3 linked regions of the Caenorhabditis elegans genome follow. The protein of the gene in region 1 interacts with the protein of each later gene in a biochemical or structural test. Each region holds a gene or a part of one and is shown on either strand. Other genes may lie near its edges. The genes, in order: ric-8, gpa-16 and goa-1.

Region 1 (7,772 bases):
TCAGTTTTTTCATTGATTTTTTGGTAAAATAATTGATAAATAAGTTTTTTTTTTCAGAAATGAACCGCTTGATGGTTATTTCGGCTCGTCGGATGGCGTCGGCGGCTCCAAAAACGAGCACCGGAATCGAGCACGCAGAGAAGGCCAGACAGGTCGCTGGTATGGCTTTCTGAAACTCTAAACTAGATAATAATCCGTCATAATATTGTATTGAAAAAGTTTAAGCCAAAAAATTCCTTAAAAATAGCTGAAAAAGTTGAATTTTTGCGGAAATGGCACGAAAATTCGATGTTTCCCGTAAAATCACTGAAATATTTGATTTTTTGCATTAGAACTTGTGAATAGCTAAATTTTTAGTTACAATTTCATTGAAAAAAGCTAGTTTCTGCAAAAAATGTCGATTTTTCGCCATTTTTCTTGTTAAAATCGATTTTAGCCGAAAATATTCTGATTAAACATTAAAAATGAGCAGAATATCGATTTTTGTCAGAAAAAAAAACTATGAAAAGTCTAATTTTCTGGAAAAATGTGCATTTTTCTAGAAAAAAAATCGAATTTCAGACAAGTTTTTCCCAATTTCCATCCAATTTCCACGCAAAATCTCTCAATTTTCAGGCGGAAAACCCGATTGGTCACTGTACAAATGCGACGAATACCTGAAATTCGACAAATACTCGTACGCTCACGCCGAAATCACCATGAACAAGGATCGTGTCGTTCAGCCGTCCTACAAGAAGGCCGACGTTCTTCCGAAAGTTCGAGCTTAATCTTTTTTCGACATTTTCTGTGTGAAAAATAGAGTTTTCGGTGGATTTTATCATTTTTTTTGTGTAGATTTTTCGTATAAATATGAGTTTTTACATAGATTTTTTAATTTTATTGATTTCATGGCTGTTTCCATGCTTAATTATCTAGTAACAAGTCGTTGAAAAACGAAAAAAACACAACGATGCTCCGATGTTCCGCACGTGCATGTTGTTTATCATTGCTCAAAAAATGGCGGTTTTTCGAATTTTTTTTGTGAATTTTTGCTGTTTTTCCGCCTAAAAAAATAAATTTTAACACAATAATAAGCCGAAGCACAATTTTTCTTTAATGCCTGCTCGTTCCCACGGTGATTGCCGCCACAAGGGATTACCTAGCAGCGAGTTTCCATGGTGATGGGCGTCGCTAGCTTTTGTTCAGAGAAGCAGATGTCATATTCATTGAATTTTTAATTTTTTCAATCAAAATCGCATTATTTTCGAGAGATTCGAGGGAAAAATCGAAAAAATTGCAAAATTTTGATCGAAATTGTTGATTTTCATTATTTTTCGCAATTACTTCAATGAAAAATCACTTCAAAATGACCAAAAATGGTGTTTCGATGCAAATAATAAGGGTTTTTTTTTCAGAATAAGCTAGTGAAAAAAAAAAAATCGAATTTTCACTATTTTTCTCCTCGTTTCTTTGATTCTGCCATAAATACGATTGGAGAGAGTAAAATCTGAAATTTTTCCGAAAACCAGTTAAAATTCTGTTATTTTTCAACAAAAACCGTAAAAAAAATCATTAAAAACCTCGGAAAAAAAGTAATTTTTCGCTTTTTTTAAAACAATTTTTAACGATGCTCCGAAATCCCGCATGCGCGTGCTGTTTAGCATCACAAAAATTCGCGATTTTTTGAATTGTTCGATCCTGAAATTGCATTTTTTCTCGTAAATAATTAATTTTTCATGATTTTCAGGCAATTCCATGTCTGAAGAACTACATTCCGACCTGATTGCGTCGATTTTCGGCGGGAAGCCTGCCAAAATCGAGGAATTCTTCTCGAAATGGAATTTCGCGAACGCCGCTGTCTCAAAATTCGATATGGCGAACTCGGCAAAGAATGTGAGAGATTTTAATTAATTAGTTTTTGCAATAAATTTCCAGTTTTCAGGAGCTCGGAGACCGGATTTGTGAGGTTATAGAAAACGGAGAGCTGACCCACGTGCTGCTGGAGACGATAAAGATTTTGAGTAGGGAAAAAGATGGATTGGAGGTAGGGAAATACTACGCAATTTTGAACTGAAAATTCGGATTTTTCAGCTAAAAAACTAAAAAACCCCAATTTTCCCAATTTCCAGGGCCTCCTGAACGACCCGCTCTGCGATAAAATCCTCGCCTTCGCGGAACTCTCGTCAAACGAAAATAACTCGAAAACTGTCCACAGTAAGGCAATTTTGAGCCTAAAAATTCTCGAATTTCCCGCCAAAAATCATAATTTCAGCACTAATGGAGGCGCAAAAATGTCTAATCAACACTTTGTTTCACTCACAACGAATGAGAGATCGATTTTAGTGAGTTTTCAATTGAAAAATCGATTTTAAAGTGATTTTTTGCATAGGAAAGTGTAAAAAATCCTTTAAAAGTGGAAAAAAAGGTTATTTTCCGAAAAAAAAATTAGAAAAAAATCTATAAAATCTGATTTTTAATTGAATTTCTAAGAAAATTAGCTAAAAATTAGAAAAAAAACACGATTTTTGCAGTGCAAACCCGAAAACTGGTGAAAATTTGCAATTTTTCCTCGGAGAATTCGAGGAAAACCGCCGAAAAACGTCGTCAATCGATTGGATTCGCCTTCTGAATCCGGTTCAAGCCGCCGAAATTTGGTATTTCTATCATCGGATCGCTTTTATTGCAACTGCATTGGGCAGGGAATTTCAGGTGCTCGAAACGACACGAAAAATTTGAATTTTTTGACACAAAAATGACCCGAATTTTGGAGAAAACTCGTGTAAAATCGGCAGAAAAATCGAGCGTTTTTTACTGGAAATACACATATTTTTCGAGTTTTGAGCGATGCCACGCGTTGCGGTTGCGTCGCGGTTCAATAAATTCAGATTTCTCAGAAAAAATTTGAATTTTCTGCCTGAAAAAACCGATTTTTGTGTGATTTTTATCGGCAAATTTAGTTTTTAAAAACTGTGGACCGCGCGTTGCGGTCGCGTCGCGGTTCGAAATTTTTTTTATTATTTCAGATTTTTTTTTACAAAAAATTTTGGAAAACATAAAAATTATAGGTTTTTAATCAATTTTTACAAAAAATAAATTTTTTTATTTCAATTTTTATGAGAAAATCTGCGAATATTCATGAAAATTTTTAGTTTTTTTGTGAAAAACTAATTTTTTTTTTGCAGAAAAACTGGGCCAACGACCCAAAAACCATTGATTCTCTGCTTTTGGCCGTCGAAATTTGCACAAATCGATCAGAAAACAGCACTCAGGATATAAATCGAGCTACCGAGGCGTTGAAGACGTTTTTCAACGTTTTTTGCCATTTTCACGGAGATGTGAAGGCTATTGATCATGTAAAAATTCAAAAAAAAAAAAAAAACTGAAATACCAAAATTTATACCTTAAAAATGCGATTTTTTGAATTTTTTAAAACTTTTTTTTTTTAAACTACAAAAATTCGAGTTTTTAACTTGAAATTCCAAATTAAAAAAAAAAATTCATATAAAAACTTCCAATTTTCGTACGATTAATCGGTGAAATTTTCCGGTTTTTCAGGAATTTTCATTGAAAAATATCAAAAATCCAAAAATGACGATTTTCTATAGAAATCGTCATAAAAAATGCAATTTTTTGAGATTTTTGAGGTTTTTTTAGATTAAAAAAAAGATAAAAATCATCGATTTTCGTTTTATTTTCATTTTTTTTAAATCATGAAATATCACTCTATTTTTATTTTCCAAAAAAACAAATTAATTTAATATATAATTATATATCATATTTTTTTTGAATTGAGCAGAAAAATTCTGAGAAACTTCCTGAAATTGGCCCAAAAAATAAAAAATAAATTAAAAATTTGCGAAAAAAAAATTTCTTTTTTTTTCGCTTTTTTCGCATTTTTTCTGAATTTTCGTTTTTTTTCAGCTTTAAATTCTCGTGAAAATTCTTCTAAATTGCGGTAAATTTTGTAAAATTATCTAGGAATGTCAGAATTTTTTAAAATTTTTTTAAAGCACATTTCTGAAAAAATTCATTTATTTTTCAAATTTTTAACCCCAAAAGTATCAAAAATTCCATAAAAAATGTCAAAGTTTTGCTACAAATTACGACGAAAAAAAGTTTTTTTTTTCAGAAAAACGCGGCAAAAACGTGCCAAATCCTTCGTGACGCAATTTGCTCCGATGTGCTCACCGATGACGTCGTTCAATCTGCAATTCATTGCTTATCAGTTCCACCACTACCAATGGTCCTCTCAGTACTTTGTGGAAAAAATTCAAAAAATAACGGAGGAGAAAACGAGGAGGAGAAATTCTTTGTTGAGGAACTTAGCAATATGCAGCTCACCGAGGCAATTCTCATGCATTTGGATAAGCAACTAACAAAAGTCGTTGCTCTACTGCTCAATGATGCTCCAAATCAGCAGCAGAATCCAATGTTGTCGGCAGAAGCTTCAACACTTACAGATCTTGTTGGACCATATTTTCAAGTTCTCGCTAGGCTTTGTACGGATAGTAAATATGTTCGCAGATATTGTAGAATTCGGGTTCGTGAAAAAAAAAACACTTGATAGGGAAATTTTGAAAATTTCACTGCAACTTTTTCCTCACGAGGGACGAGGAAAAGTGGTTTCTAGGCCATGGCCGAGGGGCCGACAAGTTTCAGCGGCCATTTATCTTGCTTTGTTTTCCGCCTGTTTTCTTTCGTTTTTCACTGATTTTTTTCGTTTTTTTCTTAAGAAAACTGATAAATAAATATTTTTTGCAGATGCTAAAACAATTTCCAAGTAAAAAAATTATGTATTCAGTGGGCAAGTAGCGGATGTGCGAAAATCTCGACTTTTTCACCAAAAAAGTTGAATTTTGGAAACCTCAAAACTTTTTCAGCGGTCTCGTTATGAAAATCAGGTAGTCTCAGCATTTAAGCAGCATATGTATTATGTTTCAGAAAAAGTTTAGGTTTTGTATTCCCGTAATCCATCATATTACAATGCCCACTTTCACCGCTGCTTGCCCACTGAATACATAAATTTTTTCACTTGGAAATTGTTTTAGCATCTGCAAAAAATATTTATTTTCAGTTTTAATAAGAAAAAACGGGAAAAAGCTGTGAAAAACAAAAGAAAACAGGCGGAAAACAAAGCAAGATAAATGGCCGCTGAAACTTGTCGGCCCCTCGGCCATGGCCTAGAAACCACTTTTCCTCGTCCCTCGTGAGGAAAAAGTTGCAGTGTTGATAGGGAAATTTTGAAAATTTGAAAAAAATTCAAGACATTTTATAAAAAATTTAAAAAAAAATCTTCCGCCTCTATGAAAAAAAAATGATCTGATTTAAAAAAACATTTTTCACAAAATACATCAGTAAAATTATTAAAGATGGGGTACCGAAATCCGGGAAATATTTTTAATTGACTCCAAATTTTTCCCTGATTCCGAATTTCGATGTGAAAAAATTCAAAAAAAATTCCCTGATTTTCTATTTGGGCTTCAAATCGCGCATTTCATTTGTGCACCCATGAACTTTTTTCAAATTCGCGCCGAAAAAAATTATCCCCGGAGCGCGTTTTGAAATTAATTGAGACAAACGCGCTCCAAGGATAATTTATTTCGGCGCGAATTTGAAAAAAGTTCATGGGTGCACAAATGAACTGCGCGATTTTAGGCTCTAATATAAAATCAAGGAAATTTTTTTGAATTTTTTCACTTAGATATTCGGAATCAGAGAGCAAATTTGGAGTCAATTAAAAAGGTATATAGAAAAATTTATTCATGTTCTGATTAAAAAATTTTTTTTTCACAAAATACACTAGTAAAATTATTAAAAAATTATATGAAAATGTCGTTTTTGAAAGCTTCAAAAAAAAATTCAAAATTTTCGAATTTTTGCAGGTAATTCCCCCACTGGTATCAGAAGAAGTGCAAAAACGGCCGGAGGAGAACAATACACTACGTGGCCGAATCGCTAGAATTATGATGCTTCCGTCGTCAACGAAAGATGTCGCCGCCGAGTTCCTTTTCATTATTTGCAAGAGATCAGGTACGAAATTAACTTAATTCAAAGTTTTTTTTTTAAGTTAGAGTACAGAAATCTGGAAAAAATTTCGAATGACTTCAAATATTCCCCTGATTCCAATAATATCTATGTGAAAAATTCAGAAAAAAAATCCCTGCGAATTTTGTGGCGCCAAAGACGCCTTGTGTGTCGATTTACGAGAATTGTGTATATTTACGAAATGTTTAATCTTTATCAGATGCTGACTTCCCCCTTTTTTCTACGAGTTTCCCTGATTTTCGGCTATTTTTAAGGTCTATTAAGGTATAAAAAAATTTGCAAAATGTTCGGTTTTCAGTCGGAAAAAGCTTCAATTTGGATGGATTTTCCGTCAAGGAGTGCAACCTAAGCAAATATTTCGTAAATATACACAAATCTCGTAAATCGACACAAGGCGTCTCTGGCGCCACAAAATTCGTGATTTCAATCAAGCTTGAAATATAAAATCAGGGAAATTTTTTTTTTGAATTTTTTCACAAAGATATTCGGAATCAATGTTGTGGCACCCGGAGGCGGCGACCGAGCCTTTAAGCCGTAACGAAGAGTGACTCGAGACCGAAGAAAGAGTATGTATAGTCTGGAAGGAGCGCTGTGGCAGTGCGGATGAATGCGGTGGTCTTGCTCCCGAGGAGACTTGAATATAGAGCTAGTGACAGAACAAATGTATAAATATATTAATTTATATAGTAATTATAAGAATTACAATACAAGAGGGAGAGAGGATAAAGTAGGGGGAAGGCCTGGAAACTCCTTGGTTATTGGAGTTTGTCGGGTTCTCTTTGGTTATCAGAGATTGTCGGGTTCTCCTTGGATATCGGAGCAAGTACATGAATAATAGTGAGGGGCAATTACAAAGGAAAATGGGGGATGCGTCGGGAGAGAAGTGCCACGCACGACCGTTCGGCACGAGCGCAGCATCAAGACTGAAGTGGTGGCGTCCAATGGCTGCGTATCCTGTCGTCGCTTGAGTCGTCGCGCAGCTAATGTCGCTGTGGGGCGCGAGTGTGACTCTTGTGAGAGAGCGTATGAGAGCGAGAGACGCAGAAGAAAGAATGACTTCTGCGGCTCTTTGTCATAGAAACCTCGTCTGAGAGATCTCTGAAGAGATCGTAGGACGAGACATTGTGGAATGGCTCCCCATTCCACAACAATCAAGGGAAAATTTTGAGCCAATTCAAAATATTTCCCAGATTTCGGTACTCCGCCTTCAAAAACGTCAGTTTTGGAAAATTTGTGAGGGTTTATCTTTAAAAAATTCCCTTTTTCCAGTGAATCGAATGATCAAATACCTTGGATTCGGCCACTCGGCCGGTCACCTCGCAAATTTGGGTCTTCTCGGACAAATCAATCAACCAAAACACGCGTCGGACAGTGAGGATAGTGAAACTGAGGATTATAATCAGATTAAGGATAGGTATGCTATACTTTTTGTGCATAAAATCCATGGAAAAAAAGAGATTTTCAGTGTAAATCCAGTGACCGGAGCAATTTATCCATCGGATCACGGAAGTGCACTTGCCGGAATGTCTGAAGAGCAAAAAGAGTATGAAGCGATGAAGCTGGTTGATGCTATGAATCAAATGATGGAAACTGGTGAGAAATTCGGAGAAAATTGCGCGAAAATTTGATGAAATTTGACATAAAATTCAGGTTTTTTGCAGCAGAAAAATCTGGAAAACAATTGGTGAAATCCCCCCAAAAAAATATAAAAAATTGCACGAAATTTGATGAAATTCATCAAAATCGTG
Region 2 (4,790 bases), on another chromosome or scaffold:
AAATGCACTAAAATTTTAGATTATTAGCAATTTTTCAGAAAAATGCTCTAAAATTTAAGATTTTTAGCCCTTTTTTTCAGAAAAATTCACTAAAATGCAAGATTTTAATCATTTTTTTGCAAGAAAAATGCTCTAAAATCTAAGTTTTTTAGCATTTTTTTCGGAAAAATGTTTGAAAATCCCTTCTTTAACGCCTTTTTCGCACTAAAAGATGCTCAAACTAGTTTAAACTTTCAGAGTTTTCCCATGCTTTTGCCCCCTCCACTTCACAAGAAACAAGAAACAAATACGGCGGGAAAAAAGCGAAAATTCGCGGAAAACATCATTTTCAATGCATTTTTCATCGCGAAAATTGCCGAATTTCATTAAAAATGGCCAATTTTTGTGCCAGTTTTCCCAATTAATCATGTATTTTCGATTAACTCGAAGCCCCTGCGCAGAGAAAAACACAAAAATGTTGCAATTGTTTGTGTAAAGCACTTCTCTGCGCGTCTGCGGCATCCGATATGACGAGCAATATATATCTTTTTTCTGGGAGCCTTTTATTTTAAATTTATCATTTTTCATTTAGTTTTTGAGAAAAAAATTCCCCCAAAATTAACCTAAAAGCCTTGAAAATGTGAATTTTGAGTGAAATTTGACGTTTTTCAGCGAAAAATTCTCAATTTTTAGTGCATTTTTGCCGGAAAAATGCTAATAATCTTGAATTTTAGTGCTTAGCGGAAAAAAAATTCAAAATGAAAATGTCGAATTTGAAATAAAATGCTTTAAAATTTAAGATTTTTAGCATTTTTCCCGAGAAAAGCTAAAAATCTTAATTTTTATAGCTTTTTTGTTGAAAAAATGCTAAAAATCTTAAATTTTAGATCATTTTATTTCAAATTCGACATTTTCATTTTGTATTTAAGAAAAAATAACCTCAAAGTCTGAAAAATATCGAATTTTGAGTGAAATTTGACATTTTTCAGCGAAAAATTCTCATTTTTCCGGAAAAAATGCTAAAAATCTTGAATTTTAGTGCATTTTTCCAGAAAAAATGCTAAAAATCTCAATTTTTAGTGCATTTTCCCGGAAAAATGCTAAAAATCTTAAATTTTAGAGCATTTTCCAGAAAAAATGCTTAAAATCTTGAATTTCAGAGCATTCTTAATGAAAAATGCTAAAAATCTTAAATTTTAGAGCATTTTTCTCGAAAAAATGCTTAAAATCTTGAATTTCAGAGCATTTTTTTCGGAAAAATGCTAAAAATCTCAATTTTTAGTGCATTTTTCTGAAAAAATACTAAAAATCTTGAATTTTTAGAGCATTTTCGCTGAAAAATAATAAAAATTTTAAATTTTAGAGCATTTTTCCGAAAAAAAAAACGCTAAAAATCTTGTAATAACTGACAAATTTCGAATTTTGAGTAAAATGGCATGTTTTTTGAGGTTTTTCCTTGAAATTTGACGTTTTTCACCTAAAAATTCGACAAAAATGAGCATTTCTGAGCTCTTATATTGCAAAAATTGACAAAAATCGTCAATTTTTCAATAAAAATTGCCCAAAAACCTTAAAATATTCTGAAAAAAGCCGAAAAAACCCCATTTTTTAGCCATTTTCTACAGAATTTTACATTTTTCTCAACTTTCTTCACCTAAAATCGCCGATATTATTCACATAAAATTCCCTTTTTTTTCAGCGCAATGGGGTGTATTATGAGCCAGGAGGATGAAGCAGCGAAACGAAGATCCAAGAAGATTGATCGATTGGTAAAAATTGGGGATTTTTCGTTGAAAAAACTCGATTTTTTGTGAAAAAATATAGAAAAATCATCAAAACTGCTTCAAAAACCGAAAAATTTCACTAAAAACTAGAATTTTTGCTCGAAAACCTCAAAAAATCGCAAAATTTGCAGTGAAAACTAGATTTTTATTTTTAAAAAATTCAAAAAGTTCATAAAAATCAATAAAAAAATCGGATTTTTTTTCTTAAAAAATCTGGAAAACTGTCTAAAAATCTACTCAAAATCAGTTTTTTTTGTAGAAAATCTGAAAAATAGTCTAAAAAATTAATAAAAATCGATTTTTTGGGAGAAAATTTGAAAAATTACGAAAAAAATCAATAAAAAATCGGTTTTTTGGGAAAAACCCTGAAAAATTGTCTAAAAATCTATAAAAAATTGGATTTTTTAAATAGAAAATCTGAAAAACTGCCAAAAAATCAACAAAAAATCGATTTTTGTGTGAGAAAACCTGAAAAATTATCAAAAAATTGGTTTTTATCTAGAAAATCTGAAAAATTACCTAAAAAGCAATAAAAAATCGGTTTTTTTTCTGGAAAAACTGTAAAATAGCCTAAAAATCAATTTAAAAAAAGTTTTTTTTTTTGTAGAAAACCTGAAAAATTATCAATAAAAACCACGAAAAACAGTTTTTCGCTTATAAAAAGTCCAAAAATCCCAAAATTTGCATTAAAAACTAGATTTTTATTTCAAAAAAATTCAAAAATTGCCTGAAAATCAATAAAATTGTTGTTTTTTTTTGGAAAAAAAAACCCTGAAAAATTGGCTAAAAATCCCAAATTTTTTTGCAGCTCAAAGAAGACGGCGAGAACTCAATGCGAACCATCAAGCTTCTGCTCCTGGGAGCCGGCGAGTCTGGAAAATCGACGATTTTAAAGCAGATGCGTATCATTCACGACGTCGGATATACGACTGAAGAGAGAAAAGTGTTCAGAGGCGTCGTTTATGGAAATATTATTTTGGTCAGTGCTCCGATGCACTGAAAAATGACAGGAAATTGGCAATTTTGACCAAAATTCGTGGATTTTAACCAAAAAATCCGTTAATTTTAATCAAAAATCGGCTAATTTTAGCCAAAAAATTCGCTATTTTAACCAAAAAATCCGTTGATTTTAGTCAAAAAATTCGCTATTTTTAGCCAAAAAATCGCTATTTTTAGCCAAAAAATCCGTTAATTTTAGCCAAAAATTTCGCTATTTTTAGCCAAAAAATCCGTTAATTTTAGGCAAAAAATCCGTTAATTTTAGTCAAAAAATCCGCTATTTTAACCAAAAAATCCGCTATTTTAACCAAAAAATCCGTTAATTTTAGCCAAAAAATTCGCTATTTTTAGCCAAAAAATCCGTTAATTTTAGCCAAAAAATTCGCTATTTTTAGCCAAAAAATCCGTTAATTTTAGCCAAAAAATTCGCTATTTTTAGCCAAAAAATCCGTTAATTTTAGCCAAAAAATTCGCTATTTTTAGCCAAAAAATTCGCTATTTTTAGCCAAAAAATCCGTTAATTTTAGCCAAAAAATTCGCTATTTTTAGCCAAAAAATTCACCAATTTTCGTTTAAGATTCTCCAATTTTTGACAAAAAAATTCACCGAATTTGCTCAAAATTCTCCCTTTTTTGGCTAAAAAATGCATAAATTACACAATTAAACCAAAAATTACCCAATTTCGCCCAAAAACTCTAATTTTTACCAAAAATTCTCCTATTTTTTGTTGAAAATTCACCAATTTTTTTGCCAAATTTTAACAGAAAAATCTATAAAATATCAGGCGAAAATAACCTAATTTTGGTCAAAAATTCACCGATTTTTGTTCAAAATTCTTCAATTTTACCCAATATCCACCAAATTTTAACCAAAAAAGTCTAAAAAATTATTCAAAAAATCCCTAATTTTGGCCCAAAATTCTCCATTTTTACTCAAAAATTCTCTCTTTTTAACCAAAAAATCTAGAATATTAGGTGAAAAATGCCTAATTTTGGCTAAAAATTCACCGATTTTTGACAAAAAAAACCTCCAATTTCAGCTTAAAACTCTCTGATTTTTACCAAAAAAATCTAAAATATTAGGCGAAAAATCACTAATTTCGGCTAAAAAATCACCAATTTTTGACAAAAGAAACTCCAATTCCAACAAAAAATTCACAAAATTTACTCAAAAATTGTCTGTTTTTCACAAAAAAAAAACCTACAATATTAGGAGAAAATTCACAAATTTTGGCCAAAAAATCCCTAATTTTGGCCGAAAAATTTGCCAATTTTGTTCAAAATTCTCCAATTTTCGACTAAAAAAACCTGCCATATTCAGCAAAAAGTTCACCAAATTTACTCAAAAATTCAAAAAAAATCTAGAATATTAGGCGAAAAATCCCTAATTTTGTCCAAAAATTCACCGATTTTTGACAAAAAAAACTCTAATTTCAGCAGAAACTTCACCAAATCATAGCCAAAAATTCACTGTTTTTTACCAAAAAAATAGAATATTAAGAGAAAATCCCTAAATTTGTCCAAAAAATTAAACAAATTATAGCCAAAAATGCTCTGTTTTTTACCAAAAATTCTAGAATATTAGGTAAAAAATCCCTAATTTTTCCCAAAAAATTCACCGAATTTACTCCAAAATGCTCTGTTTTTGACAAAAAAAAACTCTAATTCCAGCACAAAATTTACCAAATTATAGCCAAAAATGCTCTTTTTTTTCCAAAAAAAATCTAAAATATTAGGCGAAAAATCCCTAATTTTGTCCAAAAATTCACCGATTTTTGACAAAAAAAACTCTAATTTCAGCAGAAACTTCACCAAATCATAGCCAAAAATTCACTGTTTTTTACCAAAAAAATAGAATATTAAGAGAAAATCCCTAAATTTGTCCAAAAAATTAAACAAATTATAGCCAAAAATGCTCTGTTTTTTACCAAAAATTCTAGAATATTAGGTAAAAAATCCCTAATTTTTCCCAAAAAATTCACCGAATTTACTCCAAAATGCTCTGTTTTTGACAAAAAAAAACTCTAAT
Region 3 (6,853 bases), on another chromosome or scaffold:
AAATAATTGAATGACATAATCTCATATTTCTCATGAAATAGAATAATAGTTCAATTAAAAGAGAAGATAGGAAAGTGTATGAGATATTCTCTTTTTTTTGGCAAATGAACAGAAAAAGTGAAAGTTTATCACATAGTGGGAGGAGGAGGGAAAAGCTGATGGAAAATGAACACAATTGTGTGACAAAAAGGACACATTTTTAGATGATTGTTGTAAAATTTAATGAAACTTGACATTTGGAAGGTTTTTCGCTTTAGTAACACTCACTTCCGGGTCATTTATCTTGAGAAAATCATTATCTGAAGACTATTTTTGGGGTTTCCCACTTTTGATGTTATAACAATAGGTTTTGATTTTTTTAAATCTTGGTAATGATGGGGAAATTGTTTTAAACCATGCTAATAATTCAAAATAACAATTAAATTTTAAATTCGCGCGCGAGGTTTAAACTTCTTGGTGGTTATTCAAAAAGGAGTTCAGGGAAATTTAAATTTTATCGAGTTTTAAAAATATTGGTTTTTTATCTAGACATATGTACGGTAGTCCCATATGCAATTTCCCATGCAAACTAAATCACTGTACTTTTGTATCCACCAAACTGAATTTGTACGAAAACTAGTTGAGGATGTCGTTTATATCAAATAAGATATCAATGAGTGGGTGCAGTCGACAATAAACCAATGCGGAAAATATCGTCTACTGCACACCATCGTGCTCACCGACAAAAAGCGAGACGATTTTAAAGAAAAAAGATGGAAAAATGAAAAAGTAAAAGAAAAAATAGGGAGAGGAAAACAGCGAGAAAAATGAGTTTGGAAGTGTGGTTTTAGGAAAAGGAGGGAAAATGGATGAGAGGGGAAGAGTAGAAATAGAAAAATACCAAAAATTAAAAATAAAATCTTTAAACATAGACAAAAGCTGCCATTATTTAACTGTTAACAGTGACTAGGTGTGTTGAAAAATGGGAGAAAAGAAAGAAAAAAGGGGCAAAGCTTTATAATTCGGGGTGAAGAGACCTTTAGGGGGTGTGTGGCGGAACGGGACGAATTCCAACTGAATTTAGATTTTTAAAGTTTTCTTGTTTTCAAATAGCGATAAGGCTACACGGGAGTGAGAAGGGCGGGGGATGTGGCGTGAATAATGACAATATATAATAAATAAGAAAAAAGGAAAAAATAAATAATTGTGAGTTTTATGTGTTATTTTTGTGACAGAAAAATTAGGGATCCTAGTTGAGAAAAAGAAGGGCGGTGAGACTATTATGAATGAATCAGAGGTTAAAAAAAAGCCCATATACATCTGAAATTGCAACTTTTTCCAAAAAATAAAAACAGTTGCAACCATAATGTACATGTAAAGCTCTCAAATTATAGATGCATACTCGGGGGATGAGAAAAATAACGAATCTTTAAAAATTTGGGAAAAGTAAGCAAAGATACACACAGAATGGTAGAAGAGGGCGGCGAAGACGACAGCTTAATACAAGCCGCATCCACGAAGATTATTGGCAATAATCACATCGGTGACAGCGTCAAACACAAATTGAATGTTAGTTGTGTCTGTGGCACATGTCATGTGGCAATAGATTTCCTGCAAATAAGAATATTATTTCAAAAGAAAACAAATTAAATGAAATAATGAATTAAAATTATTACCTCAACACTCAACTTTAACTACCTATTCAAATATGAAACTACAGTAACCGCAATATCGGAGAAAATGTCGAGATAGTAAAAATCTCAAATTTTGGTTGTAATTACTTAATTGAATACGATTCAGAGATTTTTCTGGTTATCATTTTCTGTGACAGATTAACAAAACAATTGAATATTCGTGTTTACTTAAAAAAAATTAAATTTTATAAATGTTTCACACTTCAAAAAATTTCCAAAATTAACTAGATATTAAAAATTATAAAAAATATTATTCTAGAAAAACAATTTATACTTTTCGTGGAACAGGAACCCCATAGGCTTCTCTGATTTCATTGATTTTTAGACTTTTTTTTCTTACCTTATTCGCTGATTTGTTTTTAGCCTCAAATTGTGCTTGAATATACGCAGATGCCTCGTGGTAGTCTTGTCGTCCTACAGGGATTAAGAAATTAAAACATTTATTGGAAATTCAATTAAATTTTACCTGAATATTCTGGGAAGCAGATCGTTAACGGGCTTTTCTTGATTTTCTCTTCAAACAGATCCTTCTTGTTCAGGAACAGAATAATCGATGTATCTGTGAACCATTTGTTATTACAGATCGAATCGAACAGCTTCAGCGATTCGTGCATTCGGTTCTGAAAATATGAAATAAGGAACAATAATGAATAATAATGAATAATGAATAATAGAATGAATAATAGAATATAATTTAAAAAAACGAGTAATTTTTAAATTATCATGTTTCTTTTATTTTGGCAAATATATTGTCGGTCAGAAGTTGCATTTTCGTTAGAAAAATTAGAAGAAGAACATTATTTTTATTATTGTAAAAGTCGACTCGAACGACCAAGTCATGATTGGAAAATCGTTTAAAAAACATAAAGTCTCTAAACGATATTTTCTAATTTTAAATTTTGTCTGTCTTTTTCAACAAAAAAGCTTCTAAAATATTAAAATATCAATTTCTCACTGTTGTCTCATCTTCGTGCAACACTTGATCATACTCTGACATGGCAACACAGAAAATAATAGCAGTAACATCTTCGAAACAATGAATCCACTTCTTCCTTTCTGATCTTTGACCTCCCACATCGAACAATCTGTAAATATTCATTATTAAATATTATTTTTTTATCAAGAAAACTCACTTGAAATTGAGATTTTTGAATGTGAAGTGAACTTCAACAATACCAGTTGTTTTGACACGAGTTCGGAGAATATCTTGCTCAGTTGGTTGATATATTGCCTCTCCTAACCTTTCCAGGTCGTCAAGGAAACTGAAAAAATGGTTATTAATAAATTCTATAAACTGCGAAATTTCTTGAAATTTTAAATTTGGTAATATTGAAAATGAGCTTGACATGTAACATATTGATTCGAAATTTAGGAAACTCTTCTCAATTTATGAAAAAAACCACTTTGGTTGTTATGGAGATAATAGTTACTTGAAATAATTTTTCAAAATTTTGAATTAAACTTACTATTTGGCTGAATCATTCAATTGATACTCGTTACTCCTTGAGAAACAATCCTGTACACCTGCGTCTCCCCACAACCGTTTCATTGAACTGAGCAATTCTTCTGAGAATGGCTCTGTGTCCTCCATTCGTGCCACCACATCCATCACTAATTTTGCATCTACCTGAAACAAAAAACTTTGATTTTAGTTCTCGATAACTTTATTCGCTGATGAAAATTGAATAATTCACAGCATGTCATGTACATCATTTTCCCAATTTTCTCACAAAATTGAAATTGGATCCTTGGCTCTCTTCCAATGGTTTGTCCAAAGGTCTCAAAATGGTCATTTTATTTCAATTATCTCAAATTACTTTATATTCGGTGACATGCATAGTCACGTCTTGTTAAGATTAAGGATATATATAAAATTGAATGATAAATGTTCGATCTTCACATCAAAAACTTTTTTACGTTTTCGACACGACAAATTTTTGTTGAATGCTAAAATATGTTTATATTTATTCTTACGATTTGTTAAAGTTAATTCGTAAATATTTGATTGTTATTTATTAATTTTTAAAATAAATGAATACGTTTTTATTGAATAACTATGAAAAATCGATTAAAAATTTGGCTGCAACGAAAATTAAACATTACAGTACTCTTTAAAGGCGCACACCTTCTTGCATTGAACACAAATTCATCGTATAAAAACCGGGAATTGCATTTGTGACGCAATAACAAAACATTTGACGTCTGAATGATGTAAAATCTTCTCCAAAACGTTGGGAACATTTTTTTCTGATGATTTGCCACATCAATCGAAAATGTGTTCCCAAAGATTTTCCAACATTCTAGAATCCCTTCCAAATCCCAATTCAAAATTCCTGCCTCGAACATATATTTTTGGAATACTAGGTCGAGTCTACGAGTTTGTCGGTGGCGCGTCGCGCATCGAAACTCACAAGGGAATTGGAATGGGACGGTGGTGTGGTAGCGGGATGCATTGAGTGCAACGAGAGGCAATAAGAGTTGCAGAATGTAAGAGAGAGAGAGAGAAAAAGATACCGAGCCAATGAATACAACAGATTATGTCATTTATTCTCATGCTCTTCGTTTTTCGTATCTTTTTATTCGTTATTTTCCAAATATTTCGAATTACTCTTCAGAACACGGGAAACATTTTTAATTGAATAATGTTTATGTTCTATCTATAGATCACAATCGCAAGTAAATTTCAGAAAAATAAGTTTTATTTTGAAGTAACGTTTTTGTCGTGCTAATCATTAGCAGCTAATGGACCGAAATTAATTTTTTCCATTAAGGGATCACTTGAAAATTTCGTGCCTCATTTTTAAATAATTTCGATTTTTTTGCAGAAAAATTGTCATAATACTCACCTCTCTGTCAGCCGAACCAAATGAAACGCCTAAGTTGCTCATGGCTCGCAAAATAGCGACCAATGATTGAACCGTGTTACTGTAGACAACCGGCTTGTACTGTTTGTAGTCTTCTGCTGTGAATCCCGATTCGTGAATAATTCTGAAAAAAAAACATTAAAATGTGAAAATTTGTAAAGGCGTGTTTCAAATTTAAACTATTAGAGAGTTGAACTTACTTTTCAAATTTTGAATACGAAAAAAAAATTAATAGCAGTCTCTAGTGATTTATTTACTTTTTAATTAAATTTAATTTTTAATAATTCAAATCGATCAAACGAAATATTCGGACGTTCTATGGGACAATTTCGGATGATAAATTCTGAGTTTTTCACCATTTATTTCTACCATTTTCGTTTATATATGTTTTAATTTGTTATTTAGAAATTTAAAAAAATCTCACTTCATCTGTTTTACAATAGTCGATTTTCCTGATTCTCCTGCACCAAGTAGCAGCAGTTTGATATCTTTTGCCGCTTGCATGCCGTCTTCTTTAAGATTTTTCTCAATCATTCGTGATCTTTCAAGAGCGGCACGCTCTTCCTGTGACATGGTACAACCCATGGCGCTAGAGTTGATGAACGGTGGACCCTATGCCCCGGTAGCGGTCTCCACTTGATATCCTCTACTCACTCACTGTATGTGGTGCAGCTCAGCGCTGAAAATAAATTGAAAAAATTAGAATCGAAGTAAGTTATAGCGGGTTAAAAAATAAGGAAAAGAAAAAGCAATCGAGCGAAAAAAAGGGACACAGTGAGATGGAGAATGAAGAAATGGATGGATGAGGGATCGAGGGCAGAATATAGATGAGATGAGAGGAGATGACAAAAATGACGAATGAGGAAAATAGAGGGTGCACGTCGTCAAGGCGACTAATTTTTATTGAATTTTCTTACTTTTTCATTAATTTATTTTAGTGGTAGAAATATGCAACCTACAATACTCTAAACAGGGCCTTTCTAATTTTTGCGCAAACATTTTTTCAAATCAGACGTTCTCTCAGATTTCTTTGGAGCAGCGTCAGTGGGGAAATTGTTAAAACGTTTGCATGTTCGAATCCCTGCAATGTTTGAGTACTAAATTCGAAGGTGAAATTTTTCTTGATCTACGACAGAAAAATGTACTAACTGTTAAACTTGCAGATGAACTAAATTAGTTATATTTCAAGAATGATCAGAGATTGTTCATTCAGTTTTCTATTTTAGAATCAATTGGTTTAATCTGAAATCGAAATGAAAATCAGCTAATCGAGGATAAACATGTTTTGCAAAATCAACCAAAAAGAAATTTTACTACATGCTTCCGGCCGGGTCAACGTTCTCCACAAAAAGGTTAGAAAATAGATAATTTGTAAAGAACAGAAGCAAAAAAATAGACGACAACGTCTTCGATTTTTCCGTTTTCACTGCTTCTGCTTCTTCTCTTTCTTCGTTGTCGTCGTCGTCCTTCTTTTTCTTTTTTTTTTGCGTGGCGCAAAAAAATGGGGGAGCAACTGCGACGACGACGGCGAGCAGGATGGTGGGGTTGGAGAAGGAAAATAGAGAGAAAAGCGAGGGCGAGGAGAAGAAGAAGGTCATGGGCATAGCAGAAAAGGGGTAGTAGTAGCCAGGGGCAGCCAGTAGCCGAAACAGGAGAGCCCCATCGTTCAGGGGGCAGCGACAGTGAAGACGAGGGTCGGCGGCTACTTGCGTTGCGTGTCGATTCGAATTTTAAATCATGATGAGGATCAGAACCATGCAGATATTCTAGTAGTCGGAGTTATCTGATCACAGGCGGCGTTTGAGTTAAAATCTTAAAATATTGCATAAAAACTTAAATTGTCTGACAGCCTTAATAGCGACTTTATGATGCCGAAAACTACTATTTAAAATTTAAGTTTCAATCGACGAACAGCGCCGTAGACTAGGTCTCCGTGAACCAAAAGCTATAGGAACATAAAGCCTTTTTCCATGTGCCTAATTGTTTTATTTTCATAATAAATGCATAGACAGCACTGGCAGCGATACACAAGGAGACATGTTGAGTGCCGTACACCGGAGACCACAGCTGGACCCTCTTACAGATTTTCCAGTCGAAGAACGGAGACGAGGGGACACGAATAATAAACAATGAGTGAAAGTATGAAAGGGAAAATCAAGAAAAGATAAAAATAGTGGATTACGCAGAAATAAAACCTTAACTTGAAATATTTTACTATTAGTTTGGAATTTAACCTTATGGGAAGCTCATTCATGAAAGTGTTCACAATTCTCATAAAATCGTTCCAATGTGGTTTGAGCCAGTAAATATGGCGGG

Evidence for each region.
Region 2: of the proteins of ric-8 (region 1) and gpa-16, one has a biochemical effect on the other in vitro, tested with the Caenorhabditis elegans proteins (one study listed by BioGRID).
Region 3: of the proteins of ric-8 (region 1) and goa-1, one has a biochemical effect on the other in vitro, tested with the Caenorhabditis elegans proteins (2 studies listed by BioGRID).

What each region holds. Positions count from the first base shown.
Region 1 is NC_003282.8:2,641,253-2,649,024, forward strand, and holds the start of ric-8 (Chaperone ric-8), read left to right. Parts: upstream 1-1,726; 5' UTR 1,727-1,734; coding exon 1,735-1,872; intron 1,873-1,921; coding exon 1,922-2,023; intron 2,024-2,108; coding exon 2,109-2,193; coding exon of another isoform or gene 2,194-2,251; coding exon 2,252-2,321; intron 2,322-2,510; coding exon 2,511-2,688; coding exon of another isoform or gene 2,689-2,715; intron 2,716-3,161; coding exon 3,162-3,332; intron 3,333-4,108; coding exon 4,109-4,519; intron 4,520-5,861; coding exon 5,862-6,009; intron 6,010-7,293; coding exon 7,294-7,438; intron 7,439-7,489; coding exon 7,490-7,617; intron 7,618-7,772. Other genes in the region: nduv-3 (NADH dehydrogenase [ubiquinone] flavoprotein 3, mitochondrial), read left to right, coding at 60-159, 616-767. UniProt on the Caenorhabditis elegans protein: Chaperone that specifically binds and folds some, but not all, nascent G alpha proteins prior to G protein heterotrimer formation, promoting their stability and activity.
Region 2 is NC_003279.8:895,608-900,397, forward strand, and holds the start of gpa-16 (Guanine nucleotide-binding protein alpha-16 subunit), read left to right. Parts: upstream 1-1,678; 5' UTR 1,679-1,682; coding exon 1,683-1,748; intron 1,749-2,571; coding exon 2,572-2,742; intron 2,743-4,790. UniProt on the Caenorhabditis elegans protein: Guanine nucleotide-binding proteins (G proteins) are involved as modulators or transducers in various transmembrane signaling systems. In the 1-cell embryo, probably together with goa-1, controls nuclear rotation and spindle elongation during mitosis.
Region 3 is NC_003279.8:7,520,479-7,527,331, reverse strand, and holds goa-1 (Guanine nucleotide-binding protein G(o) subunit alpha), read right to left. Parts: upstream 5,217-6,853; 5' UTR 5,123-5,216; coding exon 4,962-5,122; intron 4,662-4,961; coding exon 4,520-4,661; intron 3,301-4,519; coding exon 3,140-3,300; intron 2,936-3,139; coding exon 2,807-2,935; intron 2,759-2,806; coding exon 2,629-2,758; intron 2,294-2,628; coding exon 2,140-2,293; intron 2,088-2,139; coding exon 2,014-2,087; intron 1,591-2,013; coding exon 1,477-1,590; 3' UTR 620-1,476; downstream 1-619. Other genes in the region: Zinc metalloproteinase nas-36, read right to left, coding at 1-25. UniProt on the Caenorhabditis elegans protein: Guanine nucleotide-binding proteins (G proteins) are involved as modulators or transducers in various transmembrane signaling systems. In the 1-cell embryo, probably together with gpa-16, controls nuclear rotation and spindle elongation during mitosis.